Linked DNA regions of Oryctolagus cuniculus. The main gene of each other region encodes a partner of the protein of the gene in region 2 in a complex. Links are inferred from orthologs where the notes say so. Each region holds a gene or a part of one and is shown on either strand. Other genes may lie near its edges. The genes, in order: WASHC3 and WASHC1.

Region 1 (3,817 bases), on a different chromosome or scaffold from region 2:
CTCCTGGTCTCCCATGGGGTGCAGGGCCCAAGCACTTGGGCCATCCTCCACTGCACTCCCTGGCCACAGCAGAGAGCTGGCCTGGAAGAGGGGCAACCGGGACAGAATCCAGCTAGAACCCCGTGTTCCGGCGCTGCAGGCGGAAGATTAGCCTATTGAGCCGCAGTGCCGGCCAGCAGGTTCTTTTAACCATGATAATAGGACTTTCTATAAGAATGAAATTAACTTCTTAAGTCTTATTATGGACAACTACAAATATTCTGAAGTCATCTAATTTTGAAAGTCTAATCTGACATGGCCAAGAGAATTAAGTTCTATCTTACAAATCAAATCACTGTTAAATAAACAGTACAATAAAAATATTTTTTAAAAATATTTATGCTAGTATATGGGAATTAAGCTAAAGTAAATGATTTGCCAAATGAATAGTCCTCTTTCATTCTTTGCTGATTCAACCAAGATGTGCACTGAAAACTTTGTGTAAAGCAAAAACATTACATAAATCTATATTAAACTATGCAAATTTGAAGTGTGACTAATTGTAATTAGAAAGCTTTGACTTGAATTTTTTATCAGGATATTAACTAAAATCGAAAGGAAGTGAGAGAGCAGATAACTTGGTCACTCAGTTTGGCAGTTTCCTCAGATTGAAAAAAAATAGCAATGAAACTTCCAGGGTTAAGAATTTCAAATGAGGCTGCTGAACAGAGAAGACAGTCCAAATTAGCTTACCACTTGAACCATTTTGAGATATCTGGCATATCTTGGATCCTTGGCTACAGTTAAGATATTTTCTGCTGATACTTCATTTTCCTGTGGTCCACAGTCTTGTGTACTGTTCTGCTGTAGAGAGTATTTGGTGTAAATCTTTAGACAATTCACAAAAGGGGTCCATCAAATTACTTAAAAGGGATGTTTCTCTTTATAATTATACAGGAAAAAATCATGCTTCTGAATTAATTTAAACACCAGTAATTTAATTATTGGATGTATATTTCCAAATATTTACCAACACTTAAATATGACTTCAGAGGAAGCTATACTTAATAACCGTTCCTTAAAACACAATTATACTCATGGCATCAAAAAATTAAATTTTTGGTTCTCTTGTGCCCAGAATCTTCATACAAAATATGAATTATACAAGGATAACTATTAACTCTGACAGAGAACTTATAAGTATCTATCACCTATTGAACTCTTCATTTATTAAGTCACCTTATTCTAAATGGGTATGGCTGTTCTAACTTTTTAGAAAGCAATGCCTGCATAATTGGTGGGGAAGAACTAATTTCTCAGACGAAATTAGCTGGTTTTGTACTTTTCAGCTGCTGACAGAACTATCAGTGATAATGCTGTCCACACAGTGGTTAAGGTTAAATACTATATACTACTTACAATGAAGAACACTGGAGAACAGTGTTTTATAGGTTAAAAAATGCTTTCATTATACAGGCAGTCCTCAGTGTGCATGGTACTTTGTTAACTGATGTTTGGCCCTGTCTTTGCTTAAGGGCACAGGTAGGACTGCCAGTTTATAATACTTGAATTTTCTATCAAATTATAGATTTAGAATAACCTTGGTGAATCCATTCATTATCTGCACATAAACATCAAGAGAAATTTCTTTAACAAATGAAATCAATTGTATGTCCCTGTATTTATGATGAAATGCAGATAAATCAACATTTCATAATCTTCCCATAGTGTTTGGAATAAGGATGTGAATTTTCCTCAAATAATTCACATATAAATTTAACTTGTCAAAAACTCTGAAACAAAAAAGGCCTCCAATAACTTTTAGATTTTTCCTATGATATGATACTGTTAAGTATTACAAAAGTGAGTGTATATCTATATCTACATTCCTGTACATATATTCACCTGTAATATACATAAATAGAAAAATTCAAAACATTGTTAATTAAATACGAAAGTCAAACAGATCCAAGTATGTTTAAAAAAACTTATAGACATAAACTCATACATCAGCAAACTGGAGTAAACAAGAACTACATTCCAAACAGATTCCAAGTCAGCTGTTAACTTTGTCCTAAAAATCAATACCTCAGCAAGGTTTAATTATATAATGTCTTACACCTTTGCTATTTGAATAACCAACTAAATCCTGTTACATCTTTCAACTGTCCTTCATTTTATTTTCAAATTAATCTCAAGCTGTACAACTGGATGTTCTATTATGAATGATAAAATGTAAACCATGGAATTAAAGTTGCAAAAAAATCATTCTATAAAAATCTTTTTGACTCAAACATAGATAAGAGATGGTGATAAATGGTTAACTTTCTTTAACAACTGCATAATTCTTTAACTGACAATCGAGTTGATTGTAATGTAAATGGAAATTCTGTGTTAAGCCCATTTCAAAAATATTTCAATCAATAACAATGAAGAAAGGAATGTGAAGTAGACTTAAATATTATGAACATACTGAGTAGTTATTTTATTAATCTAATCAACAAGCAACTTTATCACATTTTTTAAAACTTGGAAAGCCAACAGACGGTCATAAATTCTCTAAGGGAATTAATCTTCAACTTTAGAATAAAATTGTCAGAGTTATACCAATTGCTTTTAACTTTGAAGCAAATTAAGAAATTCATCTGTGATTACTGTATTCAATTTGATGACTTTAAATAGGCAAAGACTAACAACAGCATAAAAGTTATAAAATAAAATACATATCATAGATGAAATTTATAATAGCACTTGGAGAAATTAATATTCAAAGTAAGACAGATAATACTTATAGAGCTATATGACAGTTTTATCTACCAAAGAATAAATACTAAGTAGAGTGGGAATATTTACTTAATATTCTTTACAGATGTCTTGTTTTAGAAAAAAGGTGGTCGGGTCAGCACCATGGCACAGCGGGTTAACGCCCTGGCCTGGAGCACCGGCATCCCATATAGGCACCAGTTCGGGATCCAGCTGCTCCACTTCCGATCCAGCTCTCTGCTGTCGCCTGGGAGGACGGTAGAGTGTGTATGGCCCAAATCCTTGGGCCCCCGAACCCGTGTGGGAGACCTGGAAGGGGCTCCTGGCTGCTGGCTTCAGATCAGCACAGCTCCAGCCATTGCGGTCAATTGGGGGGTGAACCATAGGATGGAGGATCTCTCTCTCTTTCTCTCTCTCTGCCTCTCCTATCTCTGTGTAACTCTGACTTTCAAATAAATAAATAAATCTTTAAAAAAAAAAGAAAAGAAAAAAGGTGGTCTATATTTAATTCACAGAACCTTGTATAGTTAAACTTCTCTACAACATCTGAATTTCCACTTGTATATTATATACAAGTATACTGTATCACAATGGAATTTACTATATTAATTGAGGTTACGTTTTCTAATATCTAATTGTTAAGTAAATGATCATCTGATTTATTCCTTAAATGCAAACTATATCTAAATACAGTCATTCCTTGGTATCTAGGGGGGATTGGTTCTAGGAACTCTCATGGATATAAAAATCCGGGAATGCTCAAATCCTTTATATAAAATGTTGTAGTATTTACAAACAACCTATACAATCTTCTCATATACTTTAAGTCATCTCTAGATTATTTAAAATACCTAATACAATGTAAATAGCTGTTTATACTATGTTGTTTAGGGAATAAAGAAAAACTGCACATGTTCAGTACAAACATAATTAAATATTTTTGAACTACAAGTGGTTGAATCAATAGATGCAGAACCCATGGATACACAGAGCCCACTGTAAAAGGCATCTCCCACAGGGATTCACACCACACATCTTCATTATGTTTAATAAACTGAATATAGGTACTAGAGAT
Region 2 (3,817 bases):
TCGCTGGCCCCTGTCCCAGGTCCTTTCCCAGATATGCCTGCAAGGGAAAAGGCTGAGTGAGGGAGGTGGGCCGGGGCCCCCATTCTCAGCCCCTGGGAACTTAGGGGAGGACCGTGTAGGATGCAAGTATCCCCTGCCCAAGGCCTCTGACCTTTGCGTCTCATGACCAGCTTGTTAAAGAGATCCGACATCAGGTCCCCACTCTGGCTCGTGGCTCTCACTGCAACAGAAAAGCCACAGTGAGGGAGGTGGAGGAGCCAGGCAGGAAGTCCCTGGCTTAGCTGCACTCGGCCCCACCCACCACCACCTGTTGACCACCTGCTCTCGGTGCCTCTGTGCAGACCCAGCAGTGTTAGAGTTGCATCAGTGTGAGCAGCCCTGCAGGAAACCTGGCCAGAGAGCTTAGGTGTGAGCTCGGGGCCGTTGACCACAGGGGCTCTGCTGCTCTCTGCCCAGGTCTCCATCCCATCAACTGCAGCCTCAGAGGGCTTTCAGGACTTGGACTGAGCTCCCCCTCAGGTGCTGCCTCAGGGTATCCCTGGGCCAGGGGTACTCACGACGAGTCCCCTTAGAGAGGAAAGCTAAGCTCAAGCTTTGTCTGTCTTGTAGGTGCCCAACCTGGGGGGAAGCCCACTGTGCAGGCAGAGCGGAGGTGGATGTCGGGGCGGCCCCTCCCCTGAGGGGGCCCCTCACCTTGCTCCCGCTCCTTCTGTTTCTTCTTCTCCAGCTTGCGCTCCTTGACGCTGCGCAGCTTGGCCTTGCCGATGCCGCCGGCTTGGCGGATGGACTCCAGCAGGGTGGCCCGGCCGCTGGAGGGGTCGACCACTTCTTTGGGAGCTCCCTGGACTGCCGCTGGGAGGGGGGAAGGCTGTTCAGGCAGGGACTCGGGCCGGCTGAAGGTGAAGCCCGGTGCGCACGGCGGCCTGGGTGTTCCTGTCCCCAGCTGCCCGAGCACCAGGGCCTAGATGCAGCCCTCCTAGTTCTCCCACTGCAAAGGCGAATGCTGAGATTCCTGATGGGCTGACAGGGTCTCAGCAGTGCCCCACGAACCAGCGAGGGACTTCTGTGTGCCTTGTGGATGGGGCCATGCACCAGGAGCTAGAACATCACAACTGAAGTTTGTGACCTCACATTTTAAATAACCCCCTTTCCCCATTGGTGGGAATGGGGGGCCCAGGCTCCCCCTCCTGGGGTTAGAATTCCGGAGCTCTCTAGGACACTTGAAAAACAGGGTTTTATGAACCCACTGAATAAAACATTTGAAAGGAGAGCTGTTCCGAACATGCAGAATTCGCAGAATTCACAGTCCCTTGAACCTACAGGTGCCTCAGAGTGTGTGTGTGCCCTGGCCCCTGCCCAGTGCTGCTCCTACCTGGAGGCCCACTGCTGCCGCTGTCATCTACCCTGGCACCTTGGCCGGTGGAGGCCACTGTCTGGGGAGGTGGTGGTGGGGCACTGACCAGAACCGCAGGTGCTGGGGGAGGTGGCGGGGGTGGAGGGGGTGGTGGGGGTGCTGTGAGCACCCCATCCTCCAGGTCTGAAAGAGAAGGTTGGGAACACGTGAGGCCCTCGAGAAGGAGGCTGCGGGGCCAGGGAGTCCCCCGGAGCTCCCAGCTCACCTGGCTTGAAAGGCTCCACCACCTCCGTGTGGAAGGTGGGCAGCTCTGGAATGGCGCCGGGGGCCGAGGGGGCAATGCCGGGGCCCAGGTCGGCGCTGTACATGAGGTCATCAGCGATGCCGGGCAGGTCCGGCAGGTAGGAAGGCACATCGATCTCGGGCACCTGGCCCAGGTCTGGCACGTAGAAGTAGTTCTCTGGAACCTGTAGGGTCAGTGAGGTGCATGAGCGGCCAACGGGGCTGCAGGCCACATCGTGACCCTGGGGCAGAGGGGAGGTCGCCTTGTGCCAGCACACAGCTGGGTGGGATTATGGCTCCTTGCAGGGACCCCACCACCTGCCTCTCCCCCGCCCCTTGCCACCTGTCGCTCTAGCTGTTCTCTCTTGCTGATGGACAATGGCGCATCGAATAGCTTCTCCCCTGTCTCTGCCCCCAGCATCACATGGGTCTTGGTCACAGCACCGGCCAGCGGGTCAAGGAAGACGTACTTCTTGTACCTGTGGGAGGAGGGGTGTCAGGCCAGCAGCACCTTCCCTTCTAGGGCTGCATTCCTGACCACGGTGGCTTCCCAAGCCTCACAGGCCGGAGGAAAGCGCTCGGCTCCTGCTGCCCCTGTAGGCCCGGCCAGTCCACCCAGCCTCTCCGCACAGCCCCGCCACCTGGCCGTACAGGTTCTCGGTGGTGTTGAAGAGCAGCAAGGAGCTGACGGAGCTGATGTTGCTGGGAAGGCCCCCAAGCCCCTCCTCGGCTTCATCCTCAGGTCCGGGCTTGGTGCTCACACACACGGGGAAGTATTTCAGCTTCTCCTGGGGGCGGCCAGAGGGTAGATGGAGATTTCAGCTCTGGGTCCTGTGGACCCCACCCCATCCCCGCATCCTCTCCAGGGACAACTCTCTGTCCAGTGGGCCCGCAGCCTCCCTGCCCAGGGTATGTGGCCATGACACCTGCAGGGCCCGCTCATCCAGGGGGCGGTGCTTGCTCTGGATCCTGTGGCGGGGCCGCCCCTGCAGGCCGGGGTCCTGGGCGCCCGAGAAGATGGAGCCGTATTCCTGCAGCCGCTCGGGAGCTGGGTACTTGGCACTGGAGAACACCTGTGGACACAGGGACACATCTGGGGCCTGAGGGGCTCCAGAGAGCCAAGGGTGGCTGGTAGTGTGGGAGTGGGTACTGGGATGCCGCAAGGAGGGAAACCTGACGTGTGGCAGGACAGCAGGAGTGCGGGAGATGGAGGAACTGCCTGTCCACCACAGAACCCAGGGGTGCACAGACTACCTTGATGGCCTTCTTGCTGCCCTTGATCTTCTCAATCTTGGCCTGGGCCAAGGAGACCCTCTGCCCGATGGCCTGCAGCTGGCTCCGGCTCAGCTCCACTCGCTGGGAGATCCTGCCAAGGGTAAGGTCACAAAGGCTGGGGACTGCACCCAAGCCCTCATTCTCCTGTCTCTCCTGCTGCTAACAGCCGACTTGTAAGGCCAGGGCGGGGCCAGGTCTCTCAAAACGTTATCTGTTTGGCCTGTTGTAGAGCTTCTGGGGGACGCTACCAGGATTCTCCAAGCACAGAGGCCTGGGAATGAACTGTACTAGTTTCCCTGGGGCCCTGCCTCCTGCCCCAGGAGTGTCCAGTCTCAGGCAGGGGTGTGCAGGACAGCCGCAATTACACATTCACATACAGCTGCTGGCAGGTGGCAAGCGCTGTCACAGGCCCCTACAACCCAGCTGAGGCAGACCGCGGCAGACCCCCGAGTTCAGTGGGGCTAAGTGACCAGCAAGGCTGGCCCCTACGCATAATGAACGGTTCTGCAGAGGCAATCCAGGCCCTGGTCACGGCTTCCCTGGCTCTTGGTGGTCTGGCTCCTCACCTGCTTCCACTGTGCCCTGGACACCAACTGCCTGGCCACCCCTGAACATGCCAAGCACGCTTGTCTGTGGCCTTAGCAACTTGAACATTTCCTGCAGACACCCACACAGCTGGCTGCTTCACCTAAGTCCCCTCCTCACAAGCCTACCTGACCATGGTCTCCCAACGTGCACCTGCCACGTTCCCCACCCCCGACCCAGTGGGGCCTGACGCACCTCCAGCCTGCGTGTGCTGCAGGCGTCAGGGCTGGGTTTTGTTCCCTGCTCCATTCTCTGGGACGGGGCCCGGCACCTGGCAGGGGCTCGCTGTACAGTGACTACACTACTGAGCCCCATGCCTCA

What was found.
Region 1: WASHC1 (region 2) and WASHC3 share a complex: the UniProt entries of both Homo sapiens proteins name them as parts of the WASH core complex. The link is inferred for Oryctolagus cuniculus from reciprocal best matches to the Homo sapiens genes WASHC1 and WASHC3.

What each region holds. Positions count from the first base shown.
Region 1 is NC_091442.1:104,997,394-105,001,210, forward strand, and holds part of WASHC3 (WASH complex subunit 3), read right to left. Parts: intron 844-3,817; coding exon 733-843; intron 1-732. UniProt on the Homo sapiens protein: Acts as a component of the WASH core complex that functions as a nucleation-promoting factor (NPF) at the surface of endosomes, where it recruits and activates the Arp2/3 complex to induce actin polymerization, playing a key role in the fission of tubules that serve as transport intermediates during endosome sorting.
Region 2 is NC_091440.1:106,627,981-106,631,797, forward strand, and holds part of WASHC1 (WASH complex subunit 1), read right to left. Parts: intron 3,003-3,817; coding exon 2,891-3,002; intron 2,710-2,890; coding exon 2,563-2,709; intron 2,425-2,562; coding exon 2,288-2,424; intron 2,116-2,287; coding exon 1,980-2,115; intron 1,822-1,979; coding exon 1,620-1,821; intron 1,538-1,619; coding exon 1,373-1,537; intron 853-1,372; coding exon 694-852; intron 221-693; coding exon 152-220; intron 38-151; coding exon 1-37. UniProt on the Homo sapiens protein: Acts as a component of the WASH core complex that functions as a nucleation-promoting factor (NPF) at the surface of endosomes, where it recruits and activates the Arp2/3 complex to induce actin polymerization, playing a key role in the fission of tubules that serve as transport intermediates during endosome sorting.